2 linked regions of the Lonchura striata genome follow. The protein of the gene in region 2 binds, or shares a complex with, the protein of the main gene of each other region. Links are inferred from orthologs where the notes say so. Each region holds a gene or a part of one and is shown on either strand. Other genes may lie near its edges.

Region 1 (15,632 bases), on a different chromosome or scaffold from region 2:
AAGCGCAAGCGTCGGACAAGCTGGGCGCTAGTTCACATTACAGACTGGTACCCTACTCTGGTCAGCCTGGCCAGGGGCAACCTGAGCAATGTCCAAGGCTTGGATGGATATGATGTCTGGCCTGCTATCAGTGAGGGCAAGGACTCACCACGCACTGAAATCCTGCACAATATTGACCCCTTGTACAACCACGCCAAGTATGGCTCCTTGGAGGATGGCTTCGGCATCTGGAACACGGCTGTGCAAGCTTCCATCCGGGTTGGGGAGTGGAAGCTCCTCACTGGTGACCCAGGGTACAGTGACTGGATACCCCCACAGACCCTGACCAACTTTCCAGGGAGCTGGTGGAACCTGGAGCGTCTCACTGATGGCCTGAAGAAGTCCGTGTGGCTCTTCAACATCACTGCCGACCCCTACGAGCGCTACGACCTCTCAGGGCAGCGCCCAGACGTGGTCAGGACCCTCCTGATGAGGCTGGTGCACTACAACCGGACAGCCATCCCGGTGCGGTACCCTGCGGAGAACCCCCGGGCTCACCCAGACTTCAACGGTGGGGCCTGGGGACCTTGGGCCAGTGAGGATGATGGGGAGGAGTGGGAAGGTGGCCGGGAGTCCCTGAAAAGCAGGAACAAGAAGAAGAAGAAGAAGTGCAAGATCTGCAAGCTGCGCTCCTTCTTCCGCAAGCTGAACACCAGGCTCATGTCCAACCGCATCTGACAGACACTCCTCCAGCATCCACCCATCCTGGCCAGGGTGGGGCTCTGGACTGCAGTGCCATGGGATGGGAGCGAGGGAGAAGGACAGGCAGGGAGGTGGCCAGTGCTTTCTTGCTCTCCCTTGCTCCAAGGTTTACTCCAAAACACTTCTCCCCCCTGGCTGGAGTGGTGGCCACAGGGAGTTGTTCCCAGTGGGTGAGGAAGGGCAGTGTGGTCTCTGCTGCAGTGCTTGGTGGTGGTGAATGACTGTGCTGAGCTGGGCTGGCCCTGCACAGCTGCTTCCAAAGAGAGAGACCCTTTCCTCAAGGATTCTGCAGCCAGTCATAAGCTTTAAGTGTTGGCCATCACAAGGGCAAGAGGAAGCATGGGGTGCTCTGCCTTCACGTTAAACCTCAACATTTCTGTTTGTCCCTGGCTTGCAGCCTGCTGCCAAGCAGCTGCAACCTTTGCTCTTGCTGGGAACTCAAGGCCTCCCCCAAACCCAAGACCACATTGCTTCTTTGTGGAGCACTGGATTCCTGACCACAGATGTCAGACCTGAGATTCAACGTGGCTGGACTAAGTAATGCTGCTACTGTGACCTCATGCGGGGCTATGGCTTCCCCTCTGCACTGGCCTGGGGAGCCGGGAGCAGCCCTGATGAGGAGCTGTGGCCATGGAGGCATGGTTGGATGCTCCCAGAGGACAGGTGGTTCTCTTTGGCCTCACATTTGGGAGGCAGGTTTGACCCAGGCTCTGGCGGTGGACTGCACATGGGTTAGGTACCCAGCAGAGCCTTTCACTCAAAATTTGCCTGGACACCCCCATCATCTGCAAGCCTCTAGGCACCCCTGTTCCTCCCTATGAATCCTATACATCCAACCAGCCAACCACCCCTGTCTGCCCCTTCCCAGTGCTGGAGCTGTCCCTGTCCCCACATCCCATTGCTGAACCTGGAGCAGTAGAAGATCTCAAGAAGGTCTCTGCAGAAGCTGATCTGCTGTTTTGTAGCTGCAGGACTTTAGAAGCAATGGTGGAGGACGGGGATGATGGGGACGTCTCCCGCCTGCCAGCAGCGCGCCACATCCCCTCGCCACAGATGGGCACTGCTCTTCCAGCAGCGCACGCGTGGGGAGGAAAACACCTCCCCATCATCCGCTGCTGTGGGGAGCCAGCCCATCCCATCGCCAGCGGCCAGGGAAGCCAGCGAAGCTCCGGGCCCCCGCGCCTTCGGCGGGGTGAGAGCGCGCACACGCGCGCTCGCAGGATCGCTGGCGAGGATGGAAGGGGGTAAATAGCTTTGAAATCACTTTGGATGCATGGTGCATTTCCATTTACACAATGTGTTTTACATTTCTCCCCACAGGTTTCTCTTGGTGCAGCGTGTGTAGGCGAAGGCCCTGCTGTGAATTTTGAAAATAGTTATTTTTGTCTCTGGAAAATGAGGCCCGTTAGGACTTGTCAGCTCTTGGATGAGCAGTGTGGGCTTTCTATTTTTTTTTCTTTTCCCCCCTCTCTTTCTCCCTTGCAAAATAACATTCATTTAAAATCTGTCATTGAAAGATGTGACAATTGGCAGCGTGCACACTGAATACCTTTCAGTGCTCTTTCAAGCCCTGTGTGTGAGAGAGGGATGAGGATGAGAAGAAAATGACATGTTTGTATTTTTTTTTTTCTTACTCTTAGCTGGATTATTTGGGGGTAATGGGATTTTCTCTAGAAACAAAGGGGAAAAAAACCAGCTGACAGCAAAGCAGAAGAGAGGAGGCTTCTTCTTGTAGAGCTGGGAAGGAGTTTGAAAAGCTGGAGCGTGGCAGTGTGTGTGCCAGTCCCCGCTGCTCCACGCACGCCCATTGCTGTGCCATCCCACCCCGCTGGCTCCCTGCATCCCTGCAGGCACATCCCAAGCACAGGGTTCAGAGGGGACCCCGCTCCTCCATCAGCCCCATCTCCATCCCTGCTCCCTTAGCATGTTGCTCCAAGACGACTGTTCCACATGGCATTACCTGGGTGGAGGTGAGCCCCAGGAGGAAGCTCCACATCCTCAAACTACCTCAAATCAGCCAGCCTGGTCCCTGGAGATGTGCACCATCAGTGGGACTGCGGCACCGGCTGCCATTTGGCAAAGCCAAGCAGTTGCTGAAAATAAAGCAACATTTTGCTGAAGAAGAGGAGGCTGCTGCAGACAGAGCCAAAGCCAGGGGAGAGCAGCAGGTGATGCTGCAGGGGCTTGGGAATAAATATTAGCTAAGGGAGCGTTGGTGCTGAAGGGAATGGGAGAGCAGGGCTGGACATGATGTGGTGACAACGCTTGGGAAACAGCTTTCATTTCCATATTTACATAAATGCATCCAAGTTTAGTCCTTCTTTTATTTTCTTTTTTTTTTTTTTCCAAAAATGTAAATTTCCATGAAAACATGCTCCATTTTCCTCCCTTCTCTTTTACAAACATCCCCATGAAAATGCTCGTCTGGTCTCACTTCCTCTTTCTGGGTTTGGATCTGCTGGGCTGATGCTGGGTTTGCAGTCAGCCTGGCCACAGTGGTGGATCTTCTGTCATCTGTATTTTAATTAAAAAGAGTTGGATTCTGAATCTTTGCAAGAAAAAACAGCTGAAGGAAAAGCTTAGTCCCTGAAAACAAAGAGGAGAAGTAGGCAGGAGCATCTCCGGGTGCTAGGAGAGAGCAAAGCCTCCAGCCTGAGGACAGCAGCTGTCCTTCACCCCTGATTCCAGCTGTGCTGTGTCTTAACATTGGGCTGGGAAAGGAGATGCAGCTGCTGCCACGTGTTCTCCTCATCACAGCAATGCTCTTAATGGTCTGTGCTGTGAAAAACGCAGCTATGTGCCAAAATCCCATGTTTTCAGAGAGCTGAAGTCCTCTGAGACTGTGTGCGCGCTCTGGCTGCCAAGGGGTTAATGCAGCTGGAGAGATGCTCAAGCAGTGGAGTTCCCCGCACCCGGGAGATGTGTTTTCACAGACAGGCTGAGGCTCCCCTCCCTCCCAACCTCCCTTCAAAGCTCCTGGCAAGCCCCAGGGAGCTCCCGAGCCCAGCAGGAGCTGGATGCAGGATGGGGGCCTGGAGGGAAGGGGCAGGGGGTGCAGCCGGGGCCCCCGGGGATGGAGGGGTGGTGGCTGCCTCTCTGTCCGTGTGCACTGGCTGTCCCCACCCTGGCTGTTTCCAGCCTGCTGGCTGGAGCGAGTGGGAAGGGGATGGGCTGGGAAAGAATGGAGTTGGGATGGGATAGAGATGGGGAGGAGGATAAGAGGGGGGTGGGGCTGGGCTGGGCTGGGCTGGGAAGAGGAGGGGAGTGGGATAGGACGGGGATGGAATAGGGATGGGATGCATTAGGCAGGACTGGGGGTACGTCAGAGCCTCTCCAACCCCACAGGCAACTCCCACCGGAGAGAGGGAAGAAGCCCAGTATCAGGCCAGGGGATGGACATCCCAGCAAACTGCCCCAGTGGCAGAGCACCCTGAGCATCTCAGAAGGTGTTCTGCATCAGGGGCACTTGTGTTCTTTCTCATGCCAGTGATCTGAGGACATGTGGTTTTGCAGGTTCCCCCCACTCAGATCTGGTGCACGATGGTTCCAGGGAGCCACATGGCACCTACTGATTGTCCCCAAGTGTCATGGGCATGTCCATTGGAGGGTCTTTGCCTATGAACCCTGCTGTAGGGGAGAGAGTGGCACTGAGAACACCCTGTCTCGGCCAAAAGCACCTTCCTGTGGTTGCAGGAGTAACTGCTGGGCCCATAGGGACAGGGCACGTTTGCAAACACAGCCCTAAATGTAAATCAGCTCTCCTCACCACGGTATTTATAATCTTATCTAAAAATAACCCCAAATTCAGCTTTCCAGAGGACAGCAACTGAGCATCCCCCAGACCCCAGCTTGCATGTGAAACTGTCCCAGTAATTTTGGGATCTCTGCAGTATGTAATTGGCAGCCTGGCTGGTTTGGTGTGCGAGGCACTGCTGTAAGCCCCATCCCCTGGGAGCAGGAGCACCTGCTGCAGCCCCCCAGGACACGTGGGTCCTTCCTGAGCTGCGCATCCCGTGGGGTTGGGGTTCAGCATCCGACCTCGGGTGCCCACCCTGGGCCAGCCCCGTGGTGCAGAAACCAAAGCTCTACAGGCAGAGCTAGAGGGTGTGGGGAGCAGGATGCATTTTTGGAGAGGCCAGCCCAGTGATGGAGAGGAGCACTGGGGATGAAGGTCTCCATCAGGTGGCCAGACCCGAGCATGGCAGCAGAAGAGCAGCATGGCTCCCAAAGCCCTGCAGGAGCAAATCTTGGGATGGTGGGAACAGACACATCCTGAGAATATCCGGAGGCCTCTGGGAGAGGACTGGGACTATTCCCCCCTACAGGGGAACCCCCAGCCCAGAGGTGAAAGATTCCACCCAGAGCTCCTGCTCCCCTCGGTCTGTCCCCAGGCACTCAGGACTGAGACCTGTTCCTGCTTGGGAAAACACTACCAGCAAAGTAGAGCTTGTTCAGCATGCAGAAGTCTGACACCCCCTTACCCTAAGAAACAAAAATGTCGAGGAAAAGGAAAAAAACTGAATAGAGAGAAGAACAGAGAGGAAGAAACTTTTCCTGGAGAGCCGTGTCTCTGCTGGGCAGGAGAACCCTGGGGGGGGAGGCAGGGTCCTGGGGGGGACTTTGCCATCACCCCTGCCCGGGTGAGGGGTTTGGGCTGCAGCAGGGGCCCCGGGGGGAAGGAAGGGACACATCCCTCCTCCGGCTCCGGGAGCACGCAGAGTCACGCGTGTGGGGTTGAGCACGTGTGGCAGTGTGGGGGTGGGCACGGGGAGGGGGGCAGGTCACATTGCGGAGCTCACGGGGACACGAACAGCAGCGCAGGTGGGAGGGAGGTGGGAGTGAGGCAGGGGCACAGCGCTGCCCACGGCCATCCAGGAGGTCTTGGGAGTGGGGGGCTCTTGCTCTTGCCTCTAGGGTTCCAAGGGGCTGCTGGGGGCTGGCAGCAAAATGCTGGGGGAGGAAAGCACTCCCACAAACATCCAGATGCACCGGCCCCCATGGCAGCCCCCCACCACCTGGCAGAGCCCTGGGGTGGAGAATGAACCCCTCTTTTTTTGTGGGAGCACCATGGGGAGGAGTTGTGCAGATGCCTGGAGGCATTTTGGGGACTGTCATGTCCCCGGGGCACAGGTGGCACATGTGCATTGCCTGTAGCCCAGGTGGGGGTGCCTGGTGTGCTCTGCCCATGCCAGGGCACGGCCAGGGTGGGTCTGGAGGTCATCAACCCTTGGGGACTGTGGCCTCACCCCTGTGCCCTTCCATGGCTGGGAATCAGTCCCTGCTCTGCCACCAGGGTCACCTGGATGGGACCAGACAGGAGCGGGAGGCTGGATGCAGGGATACAAGGTGGGGATGAAGGTGGGTAATGGTGCAATTAATGGAAAAGCCATTAGACCTTTCTCCTCCTCCCCCTCCTCTTCCTCACTCCGCCACTTGCTGTCCTCCTCCACTTCCACCTCCTTTCTTCTCTCCCTCTCTGCTCCTCCTCTCTCCCCTCTCAAAGATTTCTCCCTATTTTTGTCTGGTTAGAACCTTTTATTTTCCTTTTAACCCTTCCATGGCAGCCTGAAAGAGAACTCAATCTGTCTCAGCTGCCAAAGGCAATGCCCTCCCAGCTGGCACAGGGAGTCCCTTCTCCTGTTGTGAGGAGGGCCCCGCTGCTGCAAAATCATCCAGAAATGGGACACAAGCCTAGTAGAAAGATCTTCTGGGGGAAGTCAGCAGGTGGAAAATGCAAGGGGTGCTGTAGACAGAGTGGGTGCTGCTGGATCCCCAGAGAGGGCTGGTGGGGACTCAGAGGGAAACCCCTTCCTTGAGGTTTTGGATCTCACATCTCCACTTTTATCACACTTTTTGTGCTTTCTTATGTTCAGCACAGCAGAAAGGCGACTCAGCAACAAAAAGTCCAAGGACTAGAGGCCAGACCTTCCTCCTATTCGCACTTTGAAACTCCCCCCTTTCTTCCCTGGCTTGGGCAGCACAGGGACACAGCACCCCAGGACACAGTCCTTTTGCTCCCCTCTAGCTGTGCTTCAGGCCAGGCTGCTCATCCCTCTCTGTGAGGGACCCTCAGGAGCTGCTCCACAGGAACCCCAGGGCCCTTGGGGGATGCAGTGGGCAAATGGGGGAGTGGGGAGCAGCCAGCCCTCCCCTGCAGTGTGATCGGGGCCAGCCCCTCTGGGGACCCTGGCTGAAGGTGGGACAGTGTGGGGACCTTGGGACCTGCCATGATTTCTCCAGCTTCTCCTGACACACTTCTGCTCCATCTGCTCCCTCCTGCTGCAGTGTGGCCCCATCCCACAGCCCGCAGGGCCCCCAGGAATGCTGCTGCAGGTACCAGAAGGGCCTGTATTTTTTTTTTTTTTTTGGGGCGGGGGGAGATAAGCAGTTGCTGGGGTGACAGCATCCTCCTGCAACATGGAAACCACAGTTTCCATGGAAACCTTTTTTGCCCCAATTATTTTACCACTGCCACAGCCTTTAATTTGCCATTAATAGTTGTATTTTAGATGTCCCCCTCCGCAGCAGGTGGGTGACCCCCGGGCAGCCCCCGGCCCGGGTGCCCAGCAGGGCCCTGGTCCCCACGGAGGGCGGCGGGTTTGGGAAGCAGTTGCCCCGGCAACAGAAACAGGGCGTTTCTGGCAGCGGTGGTCACCATGGGGACGGCGATGCTGACGAAGGCTTGTGAAGCTGAGAAGACAAATTGCCCTCATCATTATCTCCGGGCTTGTCAATCAAATATATTCCCTTATTTACCTCAGCGAGGAGAGAGCCCCGGGAGCACACGGAGAGGGAGGGAGCGAGAGGAGAGCTGCTTGCCCCAAACTCCGCACCGGGAGGGAGCATTTCCAGCCCCTCAGGATGGCCACCATCACCTGCAATCGCTTCACTGAGGAGTACCAGCTCTTTGAGGAACTGGGCAAGTAAGTTGGAGATGGGGCTGGGATGCTCAGAGCGGGGCTGTGCCCTGGCTGGGAGAGAGACTCAGCGGTGCTGGGAACTGCTGGAGATGAGGGAAAGCAGATGGGCATGGAGAGAATGCCGTGGGAATCAGAGAGGGCACGCGAGTGAGGACAGGAGCTTCCAGCCCCAGACCTGCTTCTCTGTCCCTGCCTGAGTTCAGGGGCTGCTGGTGGATGCTTGGCTGGGGGCATGGGACACCCCAGAGGTTTGGAGTTGCTTGGGAAAGGCTCGGTTGCCCCTCTTATGGAAAAGCTGCTCCCAAAAAAGAAGGCTGCTAGCTCCCTTGGGAAGTTCTCCAGCTGGTAGGAGGGACAGGACAGCTGAGGAGGAAAGCCAAAGCAGTGGACACCCCTCACATTTCGTTAGGGAATTTATTTGTGTAGATTCACTAGGGCTTGAGTAGATCTGCAGGAGACCCAGTCTGCCTGGCAGTCCCCAGAGAATCCCTGTGGCTTTTGGAAAGATCCAGGGTATTCTCCACCCCTGTCCCAGTGAGCCACAGCACTGTCTGACCCTGCTTTCCTGCAAAGGAGAGCTCGGCTCCTCTGGTCCAGCTGTCATCGTGTGTGCCTGGATCAGTGTGTGCGTGTGTGTGTGTTTGTGTGTGTGTGTGTGTGTGTGTGCAAACAGAGCTGCCTGTGCCCAGCCAGGGGATCCTGGGGAGCACTGAGCACCCCCGGGTGGAGCAGGGGATGCCAGGTTCCCTGTGTGGAGGGATGCTCCGCGTCCCGCCCAGCGCGAGCCTACAAAACGGGTGCAGGAGTGAGCAGGCATGTGCCTCTGTTTTGGTTTCTGTGCCTTTTTTTGGAGCTGGTGTGCAAATCTGGGCCGTGTGGCCACCGTCCCTTCGGAGTGGCTGGCAGCGTGGTGGTGGGCTCAGGGTGCCTGTGCCCTGGAGGGGAAGCTGTGCCCGTCGGCAGGCACAGGGATGCTCCAACCCCGCAGCCCTGCATTGCCCGGGCACAGAGCAGCCTGTGCCTCAGCGTGTGCCCACATGCACGTGGGTGTGTTAAATGGGGGCGAGGGAGAAGGGAGAGGGCAGAGATGGGGACATGGAGAGGCTGAGACAGGAGGACTTTCTGATGGCTGGGCTGAGTGCTGCTCACATTCCCCAGCCAAACTGTGGCATCGGAGTGCTGCTACAAAGTGCAGCTCCGTGGAGGCAAATGGAGCCCACCCTGTCCTGGGACATTCACACCCATCCCTGTGGCATCAGGGTGACAGAGAGGGGCTGGTGGACTGCAGGGGATTGGGTTCAGGAGTGGGTCCCTGTGGTGGGGACAGCCCCAGCTGGCACTGCAGGCAGGGGGATGGGCACCCTCCGGGGAGCTGGTGGCAAGGTGGGATGTGGGACCTGCTTTTTCCAGACTTTTCTTGGCTTTTCAGGGCTCTAGGGTTTTCTGGTGGTGACAGGGGGTAGGCAGGTGAGGCAGTGGCTGTTCTGTGCCTGTGGTGAAGCTGTGGGGCTCTGGCTGGGCAGAGGTGGCTGTGGGGATGTGGAAGGGAGTTCGCAGGCTGGGAGTGATGGGGGAAGACCAGGAGGGCTCCTGAAGGTACCTGGGCTGTGATGCTTTGCTGGGTGGGTGCTGACTGGAGGGTTGAGCACCCAGGCTCGGGGGCTGCTTGCATTGCCCGGCACTGTGGTCCAAAACCACCTGGACAGATGCATTTTAAAGGGAATAAAGGAGCAAAGCTGGCGCAGCAGCTCAGCAGCCCCTGAGAGCATCGCCCCCGACCACCCCAGTTCTGGGGGGATGCAGGGCAGTAGCCCCAGCTCGGTGCATCCCACAGCTCTTCCATCCACTCAAGAGGGAGGTACAACAGCATCACTGAGGTGTTCCCGAGTTAGGGGCTTCACCAGGTTAGCCAAGGTGCTGTGGAGCTGGTTGGGGATTTTCCACTGGGATGGTTTCCAGCACATCCTGGCACATTCAAAAATCAGCGGTTTCCCACGGGGAAATTTCTGCTTCATGGGCTTAGAGAGGGAAATCAGGACGAAGTGCCGCACCTCTGCTCTGCTGCGGCAGCTGCTGGCGCTGGGCAGCGCCGTTCCCCTCCGGAGAGACGCTCCCGGTGCCAGTCGGGGCGGGTGTCCTGGCAGGGCTGGGCAGAACCGCTCTCCCCGCGCCAGAGCCGGGCAGGGAGCAGCGTCCTGCAAGGACTCAGAGCAGAGAGGGTCCATCTTGAGTTTGCTGTCCCCAAGGGACGGGAGCGGGCTGTTGTGGGGCACACGGTGAGTCCCCAGCCCGGGCTGCCAGGCTGCTGCACCCGCCCTGTTTCTCTGCCGTTCCCTCGGCTGGCACCCACCCTGGCCGCCGGGCAGGCGGGGGTCTGAGATGCCACACACCTAATGGCAGCAGCACGGTGGGGCTTTGGGGGCAGGCCGAGATGGGCAGGGAGATCTGCAGAGTCTGCCCAGCGAGGCACAAGCCCTTGGCACATCCCTGCACCTCCCAAGCATGGGAGGACATCTGTCCCGAGCGGGGGACACGGAGCTGGGGAAAGCCCACTCCTGCGGCAGCCCCCGCAAAGCTGAGCCAGTGAAGGGCTGCTCCGATCCCCACGCCTGCAGGAGGGAATCGGGCGGGGGGCAGCGGGGGGGACAGGGAGAGGATCCTGCCCACGGCCCCCCGGAGTAGGACAAACATGAAGTGCAGCTCCATCGGCGCCTCCAAATCCGCCCCCGCAGCAGGTTCAGGGAGAGGCTGGAGACAATTACCGTGCCGAGCCGCAGGATCAGCCCCTCCGCTCCCGGAGCTGCAGGAGAGGGGGCTTATTAAAAAGGAAAAAAAAAAATATGGAGGAACAAAAAATCCCCAGCCCACACTCTGCTCTCTAGAAAGGAAAAAAAATGCCTCGGAGGAGGAGGAGGTGTTGAAGAGAGGGAGGGTGGCAGCAGCACAGCCGGGCACTGGCAGGGAAGGTGTGAAAAAGGGAGAAGCGGAGCAGCCTGGTGGCAAAGGCGCTGCTTGAGCTGGTGGGGAAGGCCGTGGGGACGAGGCATGGGGTCATGCCTGGCCTAGGGATCAAGGGACAGAGGCTGCAGGGCTGGGGCTCAGCAGTGCCAGGGCTCGGGGCTGCAGAGACAGGGCTTGTTCTAGGCTGTGGGTCCAGCCAGGTGACCAGGACACAGAGTGTACCCATGGCCCTGCAGGTGATGTACCCGTCCCTTGCTCACACTGGGACATGCTGTCTCATCCAAGCCAGGCAGAGATGGGGGTCCTCAGCTGCCACCAGGCTTGGGGTGATCTCCACCCAAAGGCCCAGAACCCTGGGAGCAAAGGAAGATGCTGCTGCCCATGGCCAGGGAACAGGACAGGAGACCTTCCTTCCAGAGGGGTTTCTTGCAGCTCAGCAGGGCTGAACTCCCTGCATGGCACCCCCAGCACTGCCTGCAGTGCGCCATGAGCCCTTGGTGTGGAAGGGGATGCTGCCTTTGCCATGAAGATGATGTATTTAGATGGAGCAAAGTGGTTTTTTTCCCCGCTAGGCTGGAAAAATCCTACATGGAACTGAGTAGCAAGGTAGCAGCCTGGCACAGAGAGTAGAGCCGGGCTGGGGGTCAAACACCCAGTGTGGAGGGTTCCTGGCCAATGCAGACCCACTGAAGGACCCAGCTGGAACAAGGATGGGGGTATGGCAAGTATGCTGTACCCCTGGGTATCCTGCACCTGCATCCAGTGTTCCATGTTCCACCCACCCTCCAGGCACACAGGGTTTTACTTATGCTTTACAGACCACAAGTAGACATTTGGTTTCTGTTAGGAAGGTCTGGAGGAGCCAAAAGCCAGGAATGCAGCTGGGGGAGTGAAACAGCCGCTTCCCATGGCTCCTCCTTTTTTGCTGTTCAGTTCAACTAAATAGATGAGCAAGTGGCTGTGGACACTGGGACCAGGAGTGACTATTAGTCTCCAGCCTCCAGTGGATCTGGGACACCCACAGCCCTCCAGCCTCATGCTGGGTTCTGCAGTGAAACCCTGAGCTGGGGCAGAGGGACATCCCTGCTTGCTGCACTCTCTGCTGCAGACTGTCCTGCCACTGCAGAAACATCACACATGTCTTTAGGACAAAAATTAGAGAAGATGAATCCCAGGGATATACAGGAGCCCACAAACTCTACACGGTGTGGGGTTCCCAGCAGGATGAAGAGAGCGAGACCACAGGACTGCCAATAGTTCTGGTCTGCCTACCTACTGCAAGCTGGATACGAAGCATTTCGCCCACCCTTTCCAGTTATTCTTCCCCAGGATTCAGGGATATTAACAGCTCAGCTCTTTCAGGAGCCAGGATTAAATGGCAGGACGGGGAAGCTGGGAAGCACCAGGATGTTTTCCCTCAACTCCTGCCTGGCACGTGCCGTGAGCGATGCTCTGCGAGGCAGCACTGGGCGCGTGGGCTGCCAGCTCTGCTGGGGCTCCATCCCCATCCCTCCACACCCGCTGCTCGCCTGCTCCTCCAAAAATCACATTCAAACCCAAATTGCCCGTCTCCACCCGCCCCTGCCGCTAAAATCAATTATCAGCCGCACTCGCCAGCCCGCGGCCTTTTATTCCTCAGCAGGGAGTTGGAGTGGGGTGAAAGGGAATGGGGGAAGGTGGGGCAGGAGGTGGGATTGCTTTTAATAGTTGTTATTTTAGCGATTGGAGAGGTTTGGCAGGAAAGGGAACCTGGCACAAAGGTTGTGCTCAGCAGGGCTGGAGCGTGCATGTGTGTGTGATTGCAGTGCTGCAGCTCCCAGCATTGCGCCAGCACTGGCAGTGCCACGAGCTGGCAGAACTTGGGGCATGGGGTACCAGGGCAGACAGGAGTCTTTGGAGTGTCCCAAGGCCTGCCAGACCCCAGAAGAGCTTTGCACATTAGCTTGGGCATCTGCAAGGTGCAATAGCATCCATCCCTGTCCAGCTGGGCTCCATCCTCACAGGGTCACCCGGCTGTCCCTGCCTGGGTGACAGTTTTGCAGTGCGGGGTGGGAATCTGGCACTAGTCACAGCTGCCAAGTCCTGCTGTGACTGAAGGGTCTAGAACACACAGACTGAAGTGACCAAGAGCTACATGGCAGCTGCAGCCATCACGGTTTCCCTTGGGAACCAGTGGGAATCACTGCCCCTTCCCTCCTGGCAACAGGTAGGGCAAAGCCAGGAGGAAGGGGAGGAAAAGTGCACGGTGCCTGGGGTGTCCCAGAGGAGCACAGCGGGGAGAAACCCACATTCCTCTCTAGGCCCGCATGTGCCTCCTCCCATCATCCCTCAAGGATGGTGGTGCAGGGAAGTTGATCCCTCCTTGTTTTGCACAAGTCCCTGCTCCAGTCAGCACCTATCCCCATCCTTGTCCCCATGCTGTGGCTGCCCCTCACCCCACAGTCACATGAGAGCTGAGCTGTGCTTGCTCCCACACTGAGCCCTTCACCTCTGGCTTCTTCTGTTCTCAGGGGCGCTTTCTCCATTGTCCGGAGATGCGTGAAGGTGTTGGCAGGACAAGAGTATGCAGCCAAGATCATCAATACCAAGAAGCTCTCTGCTCGAGGTAAGTACTGAGGGTGTTTTGGGGAAAGCAAGAGGTGAGCAGGGCTCATACAGTGGGGAATTTGTCCCCTCTGCATGGTGCTGGGATGATGCCTTTGATGTGCAATGAGATGAGGGGTCTTTGATTGAGCTGTGCTTGACTCCTCATCCCACTCTGTCCCCACTGCAGTACTCACTGAGCTCCTTGATGGATGAGCTCCTCCATCCCAAGGAGGTGGTGTCTTGGTGGCTGCTAGCCACATCCCATCCAATCACAGGGATGGCTCTGCAGCCTGTCTGTGCCAAGGCTCAGGGGAACTCCCAGACCCCAATCTACATCGTGAGCCAGAGGACCCCATTTCTGTCCTGAGACCTCCTCACCACCACCCTGCACACACATTGCAGCAAAATGATGGTTACAGCCTTGCAACAAGTCAGAGTGCTGCCAGCTTTGGGCACAGGGTAGCACAGTTATTTTGGGAGCATAACTTCTGAGAGGGCCCCTGCTGACACCCTGTCCCTGCACTGGGGTCTGTAAGTTTTCTTACTCATATACCTACATCAATGAAAGGGGAACACCCCTTCAGGTGAGGGTTTGACTTCATTTCTACCTGGGGCCCTCAGCCCTTGCAGCCATCTGCTCTGGTGGAGCACATTGCCTGTTTGCTGCTGGAGGGTCTGTCCCAGTGGGTCTATCTCTAGTGAGGCTGAGATGAGCCAGCACAGAAATCATTAACCAGCCCTTGCCCCAAGCCAGGGACCCCTCTGCCCCCGTGTGCCCCACCTGGCAGAGGAGCTGTGATGAGGTGGACTGAAAGGAGGAGGCAGCAGATGCTGTGTCCCCGCTCCGGCTCCTCCCTGGCTGTTGGGAGTGCAGGATAAGTGCTGGGAGGAAGCGCCCTGCCGGGAGGGTTTAATTAACCTCCCTCGGTGTCTCTCCCAATTCCACTGCTGGCCTCCAAAGGCAAAACTGAAATGCAGGAAAGAGTGACAAGCTCCTTTCTGACCTGGAATTAAACCAGCATGTCGCAGGATCCCTCCCACAGTGCTGCCAAAGCAGCACAACACAGGCACTGAATCCCTGAGGTCCTCCAGCACCGACCCCTGCCCCTCTTCAGGGATGCAGGTAATTTTCTTCCTCCAAAGCCAAAGGCTGGGCTCTGGACAGGGTGTGCAGTGCTGGGCTCAGCCCTTGGCTCCTGCCCGTGTAGCCCAGCTGGCAAACGCCTCCCAGTTTTCAGGGCTGCCTGGAGCAGCAGATTGAGCCGCCTTCCCTTTGCTCCCTCCTGCCTCCGCTCTCCTCCTCCGACAGTTTGCCCCTTTCCATTCTCCCCTGGGGTTTGTGCTGTCCCTGCAGTGCCCAGCAGTCCCCTGGAGAGGATTCACTGGAGTTATTTTCTCTCTCTGCCAGCTGAATCACCAGTGACTCTGGCTAATGATCTGGACCCCCTATTTCTGCAGTGCTGGCAGGGGGGATGGCACTTCCCCAGATACAAAGGGCAGGCAGGAGGGAAGTGGGGAGAAGGTGAGAGAAGCTGCAAAACATCCCCAGCCATGGGCTGCTTCTTTAGACATCCTCCTGGCTGCCAACACAGACAGGCCAGGAGGAGACAAGTTGGAGATTTTAGAGGAAAAATTGGGTTTGGCTGTGTACAGGAGCTGGGTTTGTGTCATAGGAGAGGCTGTAACCCACCTCCTTGGTGAAGTGCTTGCCCCACTGGTCACACTGTCCCTCCATCCCATCCCCATCGTCCATGCCACAATGGACTTGGACTTTAGTTGTGAGAATATCCTGAGCTCCAACCTCTCCTTGTCACCCTGTCCCCCCCTGGGAATGTTGCCACCCATCAGGGGAAACAATGTGGGCAGCTGAATGAATCCACCAAGGTTATCTCAGCCTTCAGCTCACAGCCTCCAGCGCAGGCTGCAAAATGCACCCCAGGGCCCAGGGTGCCTCTGGGACAGGACACTGAGACCTGGGGAAAGCTGCAGCCCTGCAGAGAAGGGGCTGCAGCTTGCAGAGAAGGGGCTGCAGCCCTGCAGAGAAGGGGTGCAGATTGCAGAGAAGGGGTGCAGCCCTGCAGAGAAGGGGCTGCGCCGCTGTCACGGCTCAGCGGTCGGAGACACCCAGGTTTGGTTTGATGCAGAGCGAGACTCTGGGGTGTGAACCTGCAAGGTAGCAGTGATAGCACTGAGAGACAGCAGCCCTAATTATATCCTCACTTGTCCTGGCTGCTGAGTGCCTGCACAAAATGCCTCCAGTCAGGCGCCTCCATGCAGGGTGGCTGGGTCAGGTGTGAGCAAGGAGAGAAGAGCAGAAGAAGAAACAAAATGATTTGCAGATTCATTCTGAGCTGTCCCAGGGTGGAGGATTTTTTTGGCTCAGCTCAACTTGCTTTGCCCAGAGCTCTGTTGTCTCACATCCCC
Region 2 (15,914 bases):
CAGGCAGATTGTGAGGATACAGAGGAAAAGGAAAAGGAAAAGGAAAAGGAAAAGGAAAAGAAAAAGAAAAAAGAAAAAAGAAAAAAGAAAAAGAAAAAGAAAAAGAAAAAGAAAAAGAAAAAGAAAAAGAAAAAGAAAAAGAAAAAGAAAAAGAAAAAGAAAAAGAAAAAGAAAAAGAAAAAGAAAAAGAAAAAGCTGTGGGATAGCTCAGAGTCAGATCTGCTGCATGCAGTCACAAATGCTGGGCAGAGAGGAACTAAATTAGACAAGGAAAAAGCAAATGTGTTTGGATATGGGGACGAGCTGCCCGGGAATTCCTGGGAAACAAATGGTGACTGGAATTGTGGCTCACAGCTGCACACGAGTGCCCAGCACCACAACTCTCCCTGCCCACAGCTCCAGGCCCCTGTGCTGCTGCCTGCAGCTGCAGGAGAGGCTGGCCCTGGCTGGACGGGCACAGGGGGCCAGGCAGGGTCCAACCCAGCCCCGAATTCTCATTTACCCAGCCCCGGCTTCGTCTGGGGGCTCACAGCAACCAGGGTCTCCCGCTTCACCGACCCCGTGCATGAGATTCCAGCAAATCCTGAGAATCCCAGAATTCCTGAGGAAAAGCCCTCCAAGGTCCCAGCTGCGCCCAATCCCCACCCTGTCCCCAGCCCGGGCACTGAGGGTCACCCCCAGCCCTTCCTTGGACACCTCCAGGGATGGGCACTCCAGAATTCCCTGGAATGCCACTCTCCTGCCTCCTTGCCCCCACCCTGGTTTGTATTTCCCCCAAACTCACTTGGACTAAAGAGAAACCGAAGGAGGACACAAAGCAGGCAGCTGCTCTGTGGGTGGATGCTGCCAGCCCTTCCCATGGATACAAGCGACCTTGGGGATGGATTTCTCCAAAGGCACCGCTCCGAGGCCAGGGTGTCTCGGGCAGGGATGAAATCCAGGCTGACACGCTGCCTCACACCTGCTGCTGCTGCAGCAGTCCCCCCAAAATAGCAGCTCTGAGGAAAGGCCTGAGCCTGGCAGCTCCTGGAGCTCCCTTTTCCACTCCTCCAAGTCCTCACTCGGTTGTCATCACAACTGGAAATGCTCATCCAGCAGAGTGACAATGACATCCCGTTCAAAGGGTGCCTTTTGCTGGCACGTGGAGACAAGGGCAGCCCTGGAAAATGCACAGAATTCCCTGCTTTCAGGGCTTTCTGTGCCCAGGCTCCCAGTTTTCAGTGTGGCCTCTTTCCACAGAGGTATTTCTGCAGGAATCCTGAGAAGTGGCTTTGCTGCAGGAAAAAGAATCCTGAGAAAAACACTGCAGCACCTTCAGCCATAGATCAACCAACCCAGAAAGCCCTGTTCTACATCCCAAGGAAAATTCCTACAAATACGGGTCCACTCACTGAGCTGGTGCCCAAGGCTCATGCAGAACCTCATTCCCAAAATGGCACAACCTGCAGGAGTCCCTGGACAGGGACCTGGGACAAGGAGCTGTCCTGGCCAGCAGTGGGATCCTGAGGGACAATGAAATGTCCCTGGCCAGCAGTGCCCAGTGGATCCTGGATTGGGAAGAGCATTCCCAGCAGCTCAGGGCTGATCCTGCCCCTGTGCCCAGCCCTGGGGCAGGGTCCCATCCACAGCCTGAGTGACCACGGCCACTCCAGCCTGGCCTCACTCCCCTCCTGCTCCTCCATGAGCACCACAAAGCCCAGAGGATTTGGGATTGATGCTCCCAAACAGGAACACCTCGTGCAGCCGTGGCTATTCCTGGACAAAACCCGTTGGAAGGCAATTCCAGCCCTCCATCAGCCCGAGGAGCTCCTCCCAAGGCTCTGCTCCAGGAGTCTGTCCCAGGCTCTCCCCAGAGCTCCCTCAGGACAGCACCGAGCGCTCCCAGCCCTGCTGTGCTCCCCGGATTTCCCTGCGTGGCACAGCACATCCCCCTGGCACAGCAGGGCCCCGTCACTCTGCTGTGACACAATTCCCAGCTTTCCCCACAATTCCCAGGTTTTTCCACAATCCCCAGCTTCCCCACAGCTCCTGGCTGCAGCGATGCCAGCCCAGGCTGGGGTGGGAGCTCCCAGGCAGGGTAAGGAGGGAGCACAGTCCCAGGAGGAGCAGCACCTGCAGCCCCCAGGTTCCTTCCCCCGCAGGTGGGGACAGCATCCCCCACCCCAAACCCAACTCCTGCAGGGCTGGAGGGCAGAGCCCCGCTCCTGCCAGGAGCAGGAGGAAGCCCATTGTGTATTTCTGCTTCCCAATCCAGCCAGGAGAGCACCGGGAGGATCAAACTGCCTTCGTGCTGCAGGAGCGAGCGCTGATGGATTTAGAGGGGGAAAAAAAAGAATCAAAAAAAAATCTCTCTCCATATAAGGGCTGCGAACATTTTCCCACTTAAGACAACGTGTGGGATCATATTCACAGACACAGAAATATGTTCTGTTCCCCGACACCCACGGGCCTGGAACACCAGGCTGAAGTGCTGGCAGGAATCAGAACCATTTGTTAAGTACAAAAAATGTCTCACATAATTAGGGAACTGCTGAAAGCCACCAATTTAGTGCTCAGGCTGGAGAATGTAGGGATATTTCTTGGAACAACAGGCAGAGCTGCCTCCACGCCGCACACACAGCAAATACCTGGGGCAAAATCAAATTGCACCGAGATTCCCACCCCTTCAGAGGATGGAGCCAGGATATCCCCACTGGGAGGACCACCAGAGTCCTGATTTTAATGCTGCCTATGAAGGGAATGGCCCTTCCCAGCCTCATCCCTCCGTTCCCAGCATGGCTCCACCACCATCCCAACCTGTCCCTCTGCCCCAGGCTGTCCAAGTGCCCTCCCGGCAGGAGCACGGGGCCAAAAACATCTCCCAGACGTGTCCCAGGGCTGAGGAACCTCTGTCCCAGAGACTCCTCAAAGGTCAGCACTGGGAAGGGCAGCGGCGAAGGGAAGATGGAAGGTGCTGCTGGAAACAGAACTTGTGGAGGTGTCTGCATGGAGCTGATTTTTTATATATTGGGGGGGAAAAGCGAGAAAAGCAGAGACTGCTGGGGTTTGACCTGGGAAGAGCTGGAGACAGAGCTCCTGGCAGCCACAGCTCAGCTCCCTGGCCCCCAGAGCCACCAAAGTCTCCCCACCCAGAGCTGTGTCCCCTCCTGGCAGCATCTCCTCAACCCCAGCAGGGTTTGTCCCCAAACAAAGCCACCATTGTTTCTCCTAAAGCCACCAAGGCACGTCCCCACAGAGCTGTGTCCCTTCCTGCCAGCATCTCCTCAACCCTCAGCGGGGTTTGTCCCCCCCAGAGCCACCAAGGTGTGTCCCCCAGAGCTGTGTCCCCTTCTGGAGAGCAGCTCCTCAACCCCCAGTGGGGTTTGGCTCTCCTAAAGCCACCAAAGTCCCCCTGCCCAGAGCTGTTGCCTCGTGCCAGCATCTCCTCAACCCCAGCAGCATTTGTCCCCAAACAAAGCCACCATTGTCCCTCCTAAAGCCACCAAGGTCTGTGCTCACAGAGCTTTGTCCCTCCTGCCAGCATCTCCTCAACCCCAGCAGCGTCTGTCCCCCACCAAAGCCATCATTGTCCCCACAGAGCTCTCTCCTCAACCCCAGCAGGGTTTGTCCCCTGCCAAAGCCACCATTGTCACTCCTAAAGCCACCAAGGTGTGTCCTCCACCCCCCTGAGCCGTGTCCCCTGGTGGCAGCAGCTCTGAGCTCCACAGGGTCTGTCCCCCCAGAGCCACCAAGGTGTGTCCCCCCAGAGCTGTGTCCCCTTCTGGACAGCAGCTCCCCAACCCCAGCAGCATCTGTCCCCCACCAAAGCCATCATTGTCTGTCCCCACAGAGCCACCAAGGTGTGTCCCCCCAGAGCTGTGTCCCCTTCTGGACAGCAGCTCCCCAACCCCAGCAGCATCTGTCCCCCACCAAAGCCATCATTGTCTGTCCCCACAGAGCCACCAAGGTGTGTCCCCACAGAGGTCTGTCCCTCCTGCCAGCATCTCCTCAACCCCAGCAGGGTTTGTCCCCTGCCAAAGCCACCATTGTCCCTCCTAAAGCCACCAAGGCGCATCCACACCGAGCGCTGTCCCTCCTGCCAGCATCTCCTCAACCCCAGCAGGGTTTGTCCCCCTCAAAGCCACCATTGCCCCTTCTAAAGCCACCAAGGTCTGTGCTCACAGAGCTCTGTCCCTCCTGCCAGCATCTCCTCAACCCCAGCAGGGTTTGTCTCCCCCAAAAGCCATCATTGTCCTTCCTAAAGCCACCAAGGCGCATCTGCACCGAGCGCTGTCCCTCCTGCCAGCATCTCCTCAACCCCAGCAGGGTTTGTCCCCAAACAAAGCCACCAAGGTGTGTCCCCCACCCCGCCGAGCCGTGTCCCCTGGTGGCAGCAGCTCTGAGCTCCACAGGGTCTGTCCCCCCGAGCCCCCCGGGTGTCCCCCCGGCCCCCCAGGTGTGTCCCCCCCGTCCCCGGGTGTCCCCCGGGTGTCGCCAGCACCTCTGCAGAGCAGGCTCGGGTTCTGCAGCAGGGACACCAGGCGCCGGCGCCGGCCCCGCTCGCGGCTCCTGCCGTGGCTCGGGGGAGGGATGAATCCGCTGCCTCGGCGCGTTCCTCGCGGGGGGAATTCGGGGATGCCGCCGTGCCCGTGCCCGTGCCCGTGCCCGTGCCATGCCATCCCTTCGCTCCGGGGCCGCCGCGGCGGCGATGTCCGAGTGACGGGAGCGGGGTCGTGCGGCGATCCAGGGCCGGGCCGAGCCCCGGTGCCCGGGCAGCGCTCGGGGCAGCGCGGGGGGATGCTCGCCCTGCCCGCTGTGCGCCTGGCCCGCGGGGACGATTCCCGAGCTCCGCGGCTGCCCGAAGGCTCCTCAGAGGCGGTTTTATTCCCGGCGGATCCCCCGGAGTCGGTCCGAGCTGCCGAGCATCCCAAGGACGCTCCGGACCTCCGGCGCGGGCGCTGCCCGAGCGGCGCCCCGCGACCCCCGGGAGGCGGATCGCAGCGCTGGATTCCCGGCCGTGGGAATGTGCCCGGCGCTCCCAGTCCCGCCGCGGCTCCTACATCCCGAGCGCCGGGATCGGCTCGGCTCTGCGCTCTCCTCCGCCCGACTCGCACGAATTCGGATTATTTCTGCCCGCTGGCCACTGCTTCCTAGCCTAGAAAAGGTTACATTTGCTCTCCACGGATTCTCTTGGCTCCGAGTCTCATTTCCAAATCTTTTCCCCAGCAAAAATATTCGGGAAGGAAAAAAAAAAAAAAAAGAAAAAAATTAAAAAGCACCGTTTTCCTCCGATGAGCTTAAACTCTTGCAGCTCTAAAGTCATTCACTCCGGATCCAAGGGAACTAAAGGATGAGGAATGTTCTCCTCCTTATAATAAAAAAGAGCCTTCCTGATCTTACAGCTTCTTTTCTTCTTTATTCACCAGAACCTGATCCATTAACACGGTATTTGCTCCCTTTTCCCAGAGCGCGGGGATTTAAGGCTCCTTTCTTCCCCTGATTCTGCGCTTGGCTCCAGCCCCGCCAGCAGCGGCTTCTCCCCGGGGCTCTCCAGCCTCATTCGAGCTGCTTCCAGCCATCCCTGCTCATCCCTCCACCTTCCTCCCTTCCCCAACTTCTCCGCAGCTCGCACCGGGAGGGGCGGCTCTGCCCAGTCAAACACAGAGGATTTCTCTGCTCTCGACAAATTGCTGCATTCCCAAGGAAAAAAAAAATCACAAAAAAAAAAAAAAAAAAAAAAAAAAAAAAAAAAAAGCCACCAAAACCCAGCCCCGAGTTCTGCAAGCCTTGTCCTAGGATTTGATGCAATCTGCAAATGAGAGCCTACGGAAACCACGCTAAAATTAGAGGGAGCTGAGATGAAAACCAAGGACACATCGTGGCTCTTGGAAATCTTTAAATAGGGCTTGGTACCACCTCGAGGAGCTCGGGCTGCGCTGGGCTCGCATCCACCGAAATCCCGAATTCCTTAATTGGGATTCTCAAGCGGCCCTGGCTGCTCCTGGGACCCTCTCGGGGTGCTGCGGGTGGGCTCCCGGCCCCAGCTGTGTCCCAGCGGCTTTTCCCGTGCCGATGCTCAGCCCGATGGATCCACACCCGCAGGGGAGCAGCTCCTCCTCCACCTGCCGAAAACCGTGCCCAGCCCGGTGCCAGGCGGGCCAGCCAGGACGGGCACCCTGGAGCGCGCCAGGGACGGAGCCTCGGCTCCCCCGCCGGGCAGGGGAGGGGTGTCAGCTGAATTCCAGCAGGATAAAATTCCCTGAATGCCCAGGAGGATTCACCCTTCCTGAAGCCCTGCTGTCCCTCAGTCCCCCTCCCTGACCCCAGGCCTCTCCCGGTTTGCCCCGGCTGCCCCAGGGGACGGGGCTGGCCCAGGGGATGGCACCGTGCCCACGGGGCTCGGGGGGACTCGGGGGCTGCCACCGCACGGCCCCAGCCTGTCCTGGCATGGATTGCCATGTCCTGCTGTGCTCGGGATCCCTGGAGTCTCTGCTTTAGGATCAACGCTCCCAGCAAAGCCTCACCAGGTGCAAACACCTTAAATCAGGTGATTATTCTGAATTTTGGGGGCTCTAACGGTGCTGCTGCCTTGAAATATTCCAGGAACAGCGCCCAAGCTTTTAAAATCCTTTCTGTGGGGTTTTAAACTTGAACCAATTGTGAATGCATTGTGGGAAGCAGCGAGGAATTGCTGCAGGAGCAGGGAGTGGGGGATTTGCTGCTGGGCAGGCAGCACCTTCCCAGGGATTCCAGCGCAGCCCTCCGCAGCCTTTGCTCCCGAGCTGCAGCTCCTCGGATCCACCAGGCACCCCGGAAAGCTTTTGTTACTCCAGCAAATGCTAAAATCAGTGGAATCTAACCCCCCTTTTTCAGGGAATTCACACCAACTGTGTAACAGAAGCACAGAGCAAAGCTCCTCCTCCGTGAGGTAATTAAAAAATTAAAATCGCCGCTTTATCCAAAGAAAAAGTTTTACAGATGGAATACAGGCCAAGGTTAAAGTTCACAGGGACACCGAGGTAAAGCAGCGCAGCGAGGCACCGGATGATAAAATCACTGAATTTCGGAATAATCACGGTAATTAATGATGTTTGGAGAACGAAGAGCCCTCCTCTCGCTGCGGCTGCACGCAGAGGAGGCTCCGTGACCTCCCGGGGCCCTTCCCTCTCCACGGCCAGGCACCGGGAGCGCTCCCCAGAGCGGGTCCCGCTCCCGGGGCCACCGTCCCGCCCGAGCACGCCGGGTCCCGGCTCGGCTGCTCTGCTCCTTCCCGAGCGCTGCTCTGCTCCTTCCCGAGCGCTGCTCTGCTCCTTCCCGAGCGCTGCTCTGCTCCTTCCCGAGCGCTGCTCCTTCCCCGGAGCGGCCGCAATCTGCGAGGTTGCCATGGCGAGCATCCCTCCCTCCTCCTCCTCCTCCTCCTCCGCGAGGAGCTGAGCGAGCAGATGCGGAGCAGCACAAGCCGGCGGGTTAAGTCACTTCTCTGCTCGTGGGGCGCTGAGGGAAACGCTTTGGATTTCAGCTCTTCCCAAGGATTATTCCCACCCAAGCACCTGAGGTTAAAGGCACCAACCAACGGCACGTGGCCGGAGTTTTTAGCTGGAAATCACGGGCGGACAGGAGCGAAAGGAAGGGATTTAGATGGAGTGTGGGCCACGGCAAAAATCCCCATCGGACCGTTTCCATTTCCCAAAAGCCAAGGAACTTCCAGCAGGGCTCTCCTGTCCGTGACCCTCCCCGGCCCAGCCTCCCAGGGCAAACGAGCAAAGGCGGCTCGGTGCCCTCGGCACACGCTGTCCCTCGGCAGCGACACGGACACGGACACGGGCATGGACACGGGCATGGACAGGGACACGGACACGGACACGGACAGGGACAGGGACAGGGACAGGGACAGGGACAGGGACACGGACAGGGACAGGGACACGGACACGGACACGGACACGGACACGGGCACGGACACGGACACGGGCACGGACACGGACACGGACACGGGCACGGACACGGACACGGGCACGGGCACGGACACGGACACGGACACGGACACGGGCACGGACACGGGCACGGACACGGGCACGGACACGGGCACGGGCACGGACACGCGGGCTCCGAGCGCAAGGCCCGGCTCCTGCCCAGCCTCCCCCGAATCTCCCAGCGCGGGGGGAGCCGGTGCCCATCGCCCGCTGCCCCCAGACCCCGGGCACCGCTCTGGGCACCGCGCTGGGCACCGCGCTGGGCACCGCGCTGGGCACCGGGCCGGACACAGAACGGGCCGGACACAGAACGGGCCGGGGCACGCAGCGGCAGCGCCACGCGGGACCGCGGGAGGCGGCGATGTCCCTGCGCGGAGGGAGGGAGGGAGGGAGGGAGGGAAGGAGGGATGGAGGGAGGGAGAGAGGGAGGGAGGGAGCCTCCTCCGCACCTCCCCGCGCCTCCACCGGCGCTGCGAAGGGCGCAGAATTTTCCAGGAGCCGCGCCGAGCCCGAGCGCGCCGCAGGCAGGTTGCGCGGCCGCGCCGCGGGGGCTGCGCGGGGCCGGCGGCGGCGCGCCCCGGGCGCTGCCCGCGCTCTTTGTCCTCGGCGGGGCCGCCCCGCGCCCCCTCCCCGCGCCCGGCGGCGGCCCGGGCACCCCCCGGCCCCGGCCCCGCTACTCACGGTGCAGGCGGGAGCGCGCGTCCATGCGCGGCCGAGCCGCGGTGCGGGGGCTGCCCGCGGCTGTCCCGCCGCCCGCCGCGCCGCGGAGCCCAGGGCCGGGCCCGCTCCGCCTCCGCGGGCGGCGCCCAGACACAAAGCGGCGGCGGCGGCGGCGGCGGCGGCGGCGGCGGCGGCGGCGGCGGCGGCGGCGGCGGCGGCGGCGGCGGGGCGGGTCCGGTCCCGCTGCGCGCCCGCGCTGCGCTCCGCGGCGGCGCAGGGGCGGTGCGGGGGGGCGGGACGCGGCCGCGCCCCCCCCGCGGGGCGGTGCGGAGCGGGGATGCGGGAGGATGCGGGAGGATGCGGGAGGATGCGGGAGGATGCGGGGCGGGGGATGCCGTGTGGGATGTGCGGGGGATGCGGTGCGGAGCGGAGCGCGCAGGCGGTGCCCGCGCCCGTCCCCGCCCGTCCCCGTCCCGACGGGGCGCCCCGCGCGCGGAGCATCCCCGGAGCATCCCCGGAGCATCCCCGGAGCATCCCCGGAGCATCCCCCGGCCCCCAGCCACGGCCCCGGGGCAGCTCCGGGCCGCTCATCGCTCCTTCCCACAGGAGCGGTTTCCTCACCCGGGCCAAGGTGCGGGAAGGGCTCGCAGCCTCCCGGGAGCAGTGCTGGGCACAGCTCGGTGTCCCCTGCGGGCTGCGGTGTCACGGGCCACGGGCTAAACCCGCGGGGGTCATGGGGAACCCCCGGCAGGGACCCGAGGCTGCCCTGCTGTCCTCCATCCCCGCGGCACAGAGCAGGGCACGCCCGTGCCTGTGCCACCCTGTGCCACCCTGTGCCACCCTGTGCCACCCTGTGCCACCCTGCCCGCTGTCGCTGTGTGACCTGCAGCGACCCTGGGAACCCTCCGGGGCTCTCGGAGACACAGAACGCGTTGGGCTGGGAGGGACCTTAAAGCTCACCTCGTTCCAGCCCTGCCGCGGCTGGGACACCTCCTGCCACAGCCCTGCCCGCGGCTGGGCTCCTGCAGCCTCTCCTGGTGGCCCTCGGAGCAGCTGGGCCAGCAGCAAGTCCTGGAGCTGCTCAGCTCCCTTCTGTGTTCCCAAAGGCAGCAAAGCCGGCCCTGCTCCTGCCGTGTCCCATTCTGGGGCTCCGGGGCAGCCACTGCCACCCACGGGTGCTGGCAGGCCTGGCGGTGACACGGGGTGGCCGCAGGGACACGGTGACATCACAGCTCTGTGCTGATGTTCCTGAAAAACACCAAGATTCTGAAGGGCACAAAGGAACTGGAAAACCCCTGGAAGAGCCGAGTTCTTATTGAGAAAATAGAGACTTTTCTTCCCTGAAAAGACAAATGTGGAGAGGGAGGAACACAGGGATGTGCCAGGGGGAGGTGGGAACCAAACCCCCCAAGCCTGGAGCTGGCAAGGCCAAGGCTGGAGCTGTGGAACTGAAACCCTCAATTCCCATCACCTCACACCAGTTCCACAGTGGTTCCACCGACTCCAGCAAACAGGAAAAGCAAGGGCAGCAAAGAGCAGGCCAGAACAGTGAGGAATGTGGGTTCCAGAGAATCCAGAGAACTGTGAGGAATGTGGGTTCCAGAGAATCCAAAGAACTGTGAGGAATGTGGGTTCCAGAGAATCCAAAGAACTGTGAGGAATGTGGGTTCCAGAGAATCCAGAGAACTGTGAGGAATGTGGGTTCCAGAGAATCCAGAGAAATGTGAGGAATGTGGGTTCCATGAACAGTGAGGAATGTGGGTTCCAGAGAATCCAAAGAACAATGAGGAATGTGGGTTCCAGAGAATCCAGAGAACTGTGAGGAATGTGGGTTCCAGAGAATCCAGAGAACTGTGAGGAATGTGGGTTCCAGAGAATCCAGGGAACTGTGAGGAACGTGGGTTCCAGAGAACTGTGAGGAATGTGGGTTCCAGAGAATCCAGAGAACTGTGAGGAATGTGGGTTCCAGAGAATCCAGAGAACTGTGAGGAATGTGAGCTCCAGGGAACAGTGGGAAATGTGGGTTCCAGCACCTCCTGAGCTCTGCTGAGGCAGAGCTCCAGCTGGGCAGTGGAACAAGTCCCTAAGCTGGGCTTTGCCTCTGCTCTTCCATGCATTTCCCCTTTCCTGCTCTGGGCCTGGCTGCATTAGAACAATGAAATTCTTTCAGCAAATTTCCCAGGAAAGCTGGATGTGTTCCCTAGAAGCGTTCTGCAGGTTTGGGCTCAGAAGGGTCTGGTCAAGTCCAGCTGGGAAGAAGGGGGGTGAATCAAAGCAGCACATAGATAACCCTGAAATAAAGATATTTTTATTCCCCATTTTTTTAAAGTCTGGACTATAGAGAGAAGGACTGGTTTTAAGGACTCAGCTCCTTCTGTTCAATAAATGGTGGAGCTGCACAGCTTTGAACATTTTCCCTTTAGAACTCCCAATATATTTTTTCCCTCTGGTTTCACCAAGTTCACTCAAGTACTACTTGAAGTATTCCCGGACAAAGCTGATCTCCAATTTTGGAGCCTTTCCTTGTGGGGTTGAGAGGAGGGGATGAGGCATGGCCCTGGTGCCACAGGCACAAGGGGGGTTCAGGTGGCAAAGAATTGAGCTGGGCAGGAGGGATCTGCCAGGCTCTGCCCAAAATGGCCAATGGGTTTGGGAATTTTGATTGAGGCAGAATTTAGGAGATGAAAAACGGGAGTGGAAAAGGAAGGAAAATCTTTGTGGAAACCCAAAAAGCAGCCGGGTGCTGCCCTCCCCCCTCAGCCCCAGTGTGGATAATTGTCACTGTCCATGGGGAATTGCTGGAGCTGTTCCACCAGGATGACACTGGAATAACTTGGGGTATTTGCATCCCTGTACTAAAGCTAATTTGGGGAAAAGTTCCTTTTTTCTGGAGCGATGACATCATCAGGCTGGACCTGCAAAAATGATAACTCTTAAACCTGGAACAGCAAATTTCTTCTTTTAACACTGAAATGATTGCATTTCTATCATCTGGAAGAACCTCAAAAACCTGTTTTAAAATGTAACAACCGGGGAGATTGAACTGCTCCCTCTTCCCTGTCTCACAAAAGGACAGAGGAATTCAGGAGAGGAGCTGGGACCATCCCGATCTCCTGCTCTGGGATGTGCCCTGGGACAGCGGGAGGTGTCCCTGCTGCAGTGAGATGAGCTTCAAGGTCCTTCTGACCAAACCAGTCTGGGATTTCGTGGTTCCATGAGCACCCCGGGCGCCACTGGGATGTCCAGTGCTGGCCACAGAGCTCAGGAACGCTGCCAGAAGAATCCCCGCTCCAATTTCCATTCTCGCCTTGCCGGGACCTGGAGATCAGGCGGCGTCAAAACCCTCCCCCGGCATTTCAGTCCCTCCCTGGAGCAGCTGAGCTCTCCGGGTTTACACACAAAAAGTGTTTCAATCCCTGCTTGCAGCTGCCTCTCAGACGCACAATTCCCTCTCAGCTCCCCAAATCCAGGCGCGGCTCTCGCAGCCGGAGCTGCCGTCTGAAGAGCAGCTGAAGGTCACTGCCAGCTGCTGTGCCAGCGTGGGGGCAGCAGCATTGCAGAGCCCCCCTGCTGCAGGGCTGCCGGGCTGCCAGGGCAGGATATGGCACTGCCAGGGCTGCCAGGGCAGGATATGGCACTGCCAGGGCTGCCAGGGCAGGATATGGCACTGCCAGGGCTGCCAGGGATGCTCCGGAGCCCGGGCAGAGCTCTGCTCGGAGCACAGAGCCGGGGAAGGGAATTCTGTCCCTGCCCTGCTGCAGGGATGCTCCGGAGCCCGGGCAGAGCTCTGCTCGGAGCTCAGAGCATCCCGGGGCAGGGAATCCTCTCCCTGCCCTGCTGCAGGGATGCTCCGGAGCCCGGGCAGAGCTCTGCTCGGAGCTCAGAGCATCCCGGGAAGGGAATTCTGTCCCTGCCCTGCTGCAGGGATGCTCCGGAGCCCGGGCAGAGCTCTGCTCGGAGCACAGAGCATCCCGGGAAGGGAATTCTGTCCCTGCCCTGCTGCAGGGATGCTCCGGAGCCCGGGCAGAGCTCTGCTCGGAGCACAGAGCATCCCGGGGCAGGGAATCCTCTCCCTGCCCTGCTGCAGTGGCTGCACGCTGCAGCAGCGTGTGGCACAGCAGCTGCGGGCTGTGCAGCAGCAGCGGAGCCTCTGTCGGGCCAGGCTGGAACGGGCTCCCTCCTTTCCTCTCTCACGTCCTCTGACCTGCGGGGCACCGGAGCTTTCTCGGCCTCTGGAACGGGACCGCGGGGCTGAGGGGCAGCCCCGGGCAGCCCCCGGCCCCGGAGCACGCCAGTCCCGCCGGGAAGGGGAAAGCAGGGATGCCAGTCCCGCTGTGCCCGCTGTGCGCGGCTGCGGCCACGGGCGGAGGCGGTGCCCGGCTCTGCTGGGATGTGCCTGGGGCTCCGTGCGGTTTTAAGGGTCTGGAGCATCCTGAAGGTCCCTTCCCAGCTGGACACGGGAATGGCACCAAGGAGAGCTCCAGGGCAGCTCCCGGAGCCGGCCCGGCGCAAACCTCCCCGACAGCCGCAGCACAGCGGCTGCTCCGGGTTCCCCTGCTCTGGGCTTCACTGCCGCGCTCACTCCGGGTTTAAACACCCGCGAAATGCCAGTTCCACCCGCAGCACTCTGCCCGGGACACGCCTTCCATCCTTTCCCCTCCAAGCCCCGCTTCCCTGCCTGCTGGATGGAGGATGTGGAGCTGGATGGAGAGCCCCAAACCTCCCTGGATGCGCTGGATGGAGGATGTGGAGCTGGATGAAGAGCCCCAAACCTCCCTGGATGTGCTGGATGGAGGAGATTTTAGCAAGTTTGGGTACTCCTGGGAGTGCATTTTAGCAGAAACTGCTGGAGATTTGCTTTAAGCTGGAAGAGGGAAGGAAGGGATGGGATATTGGGAAGGAGTTATCCCCCGGGAGGGTGGGCAGGGCTGGCATGGAATTCCCAGAGCAGCTGGGGCTGCCCCTGGATCCCTGGCAGTGCCCAAGGCCAGGCTGGATGGGCTTGGAGCACCTGGGACAGCGGGAGGTGGCACTGGATGGGTTTGAGGTGCCTCCCGTGATCCCAAGGGCCCTGTCCCGCTGGGTTTAGCGCCCGTTGGATCAGAGACTGAGCAAACTCCCATTTTTTGGTCTATTACCCTCTTAGCATTTAAAAATAGAGCTGTTACTAAGCAATGGCAGCGAGGAGAAAGCCAAGCCTATGGAGGAGCATTCCTGGGAACAGGTATTTTTCCCAGCCCAAGTGCTGTAAGCACTGTGGGATGAGGAGCTGTGAATCAGAGCCTGCCCCCATTCCCTCCCTCCCATCCCCACTGCTGCTCTCCCATCACCCCCAAACCGGTGGCAGCGGCACCAGGAGCTGTTTGTTCTCACTCCGCCTCGCTTTGCGGGCCAGGTTTTCCAGATTTTCCACACATCTTTCCAAAATAAAAGAGACAATAAGTGGGATGATCTTCTCATGGGGTGGGGGAACCATGGGGGCGAGAGCTGCAGGGGTCCAAGCAGTGGCAAGGCCAGCCCTGCCCCGTGTCCCCAAGTGCCACATCCACAGGGCTTTGGGATCCCTCCAGGGATGAGGGACCCAGCACCCGCTGCTTCTCCGGCTCCCTTCCCTTCCTGGGGCTCCGTGTCCCTGGACAAAGCCAAGAGCAGCACCGGCGGACGAGGGAAATTTATGGAATTAATAAAAAGATGGACAGAAATTGGAAAAATAGCTGTAATTTTCCTACATGGGCTCAAATCCCTTATGGATTTATGGCAGCAGAAATTTTTGCAGTGGGTTTTTAGGGCTGGATTTGGGATAAAGTCTCTTCTGACGGGGTTAGAATAAGGCAGAAATTCTCATTAAATACAAGAAGTGACATTTTCAATTAAGCAAGAGGAAGAAAGCAGCAGAGAATTGATTGGCCTGCTCCAGAAAATGGGGAAAATGTCATAAAAAATGGGAAGATGCAGCTGGAGAAGCCTGGGTATTAAGAATCCCACTCATACATTGAAATTATCCAAAGGAATGATGGATTTGTCCCAAATCCAGGCTCTTCTGTGTCAAAATAATTGGGAATGCAGCAGTGGAGAGGCAGAGCTTGGCTTTGCCCACGTGCAGCCGTGGCCGTGTGGGAGGGGGAGGCTCAGCCCATCCCAACAGTTCTTTGGGAATCTCGATTTCAGCAGCAGGATTCCAGATCTCTGCCCCCCGTTGAATGGAGGATTTGGGATTTGAGGCTGGAATTAGGGAGCTTCAGGAGCCACGTGTGCAGGGCTGGGAGCCAGTGAGATGTGATGGCTTTGTGTGCTCCAGGAGCAGCTCCCCTTGGACTGGGAAAAGGTGAGGAAAACTGGGATGAGCAAATCCTTGCCCAGTCCAATCCCTCCATCTCCCTTTGGCAGCCAGCAGGGATGGGGCTTTTTTCCTGGGAGGTCCCTGGGTTCAACTTGGAGGCTGCAGCTTAGAGGGGAGGGTGAATGTTCTTAACCCTTCTGTTTGCTCCAAAGGGCTCCAAAATTTGGGAATAGGGAATGGCAGGAAGACACGGAAGGGGTGAGCTCTTTGTCCAAACCGTGTTGCTTCCCAAGAAGCTGCTGAGGGACGAGCCAGAGCCCAAGGGTGGAGCAGGAGCCAGGGGGGCTGGAAAAGCAGGGATGGAGCTGCTCCTCACAGGGAAGGTGGGAAAACAGCCAGGAAAGGATCCCGGGCTCCCATGGAAGTTTGCTGCTGGAAATCCATGCTGGATTTCACATCCCTGCACAGCCCAGGAGCCACTGTCCTGGTGCTGGAATTCTGCTCCATCCCAGAACAGGGATCTCCCAAATCCCACATCCCCTCCAATCCCAGCAGCCAGGAGCTCCTCTCCTGGTGCTGGAATTCTGCTCCATCCCAGAACAGGGATCTCCCCAAATCCCTCATCCCCTCCAATCCCAGCAGCCAGGAGCTCCTCTCCCTGTGCTGGAATTCTGCTCCATCCCAGAACAGGGATCTCCCAAATCCCACATCCCCTCCAATCCCAGCAGCCAGGAGCTCCTCTCCCTGTGCTGGAATTCTGCTCCATCCCAGAACAGGGATCTCCCAAATCCCACATCCCCTCCAATCCCAGCAGCCAGGAGCTCCTCTCCTCTGGCACCCAGGGGCTGCTCCGAGCTCTGGGTTCTGCCCAGCTCTGCTCTTTCCCTGTTTGGCCAAAGCAAAACCTGTTTAATTCCCCCACAAAGTGACTAAACCACATTTCCCTCTCTTGGAGCTCCCGACTTCCTTCACATCCCGAATCCAGCAGCGGAGCTGCCGAAGGAGCAGGGAGGAAGACGCTGCCT

Evidence for each region.
Region 1: the proteins of LRRC7 (region 2) and CAMK2A are in contact, whole or in part, in a crystal structure (PDB 6X5G), measured with the Homo sapiens proteins. The link is inferred for Lonchura striata from reciprocal best matches to the Homo sapiens genes LRRC7 and CAMK2A. Residues at the interface, in NP_001357714.1 of Homo sapiens: His843, Gly844, Arg845, Arg846, Pro847, Leu848, Ile849, Arg850, Gln851, Asp852, Arg853, Ile854, Val855; in NP_001350919.1 of Homo sapiens: Glu96, Phe98, Glu99, Ile101, Val102, Lys137, Glu139, Leu159, Phe173, Ala174, Gly175, Thr176, Pro177, Gly178, Tyr179, Leu180, Ile205, Gly209, Tyr210, Pro211, Pro212, Phe213, Trp214, Tyr222, Gln224, Pro233, Glu236.

Annotation. Positions count from the first base shown.
Region 1 is NC_134617.1:6,354,264-6,369,895, forward strand, and holds the start of CAMK2A (calcium/calmodulin-dependent protein kinase type II subunit alpha), read left to right. Parts: upstream 1-7,394; 5' UTR 7,395-7,602; coding exon 7,603-7,664; intron 7,665-13,132; coding exon 13,133-13,227; intron 13,228-15,632. Other genes in the region: ARSI (arylsulfatase I), read left to right, coding at 1-717. UniProt on the Homo sapiens protein: Calcium/calmodulin-dependent protein kinase that functions autonomously after Ca(2+)/calmodulin-binding and autophosphorylation, and is involved in various processes, such as synaptic plasticity, neurotransmitter release and long-term potentiation.
Region 2 is NC_134611.1:4,793,692-4,809,605, reverse strand, and holds the start of LRRC7 (leucine-rich repeat-containing protein 7), read right to left. Parts: upstream 5,704-15,914; 5' UTR 4,659-5,703; coding exon 4,481-4,658; intron 1-4,480.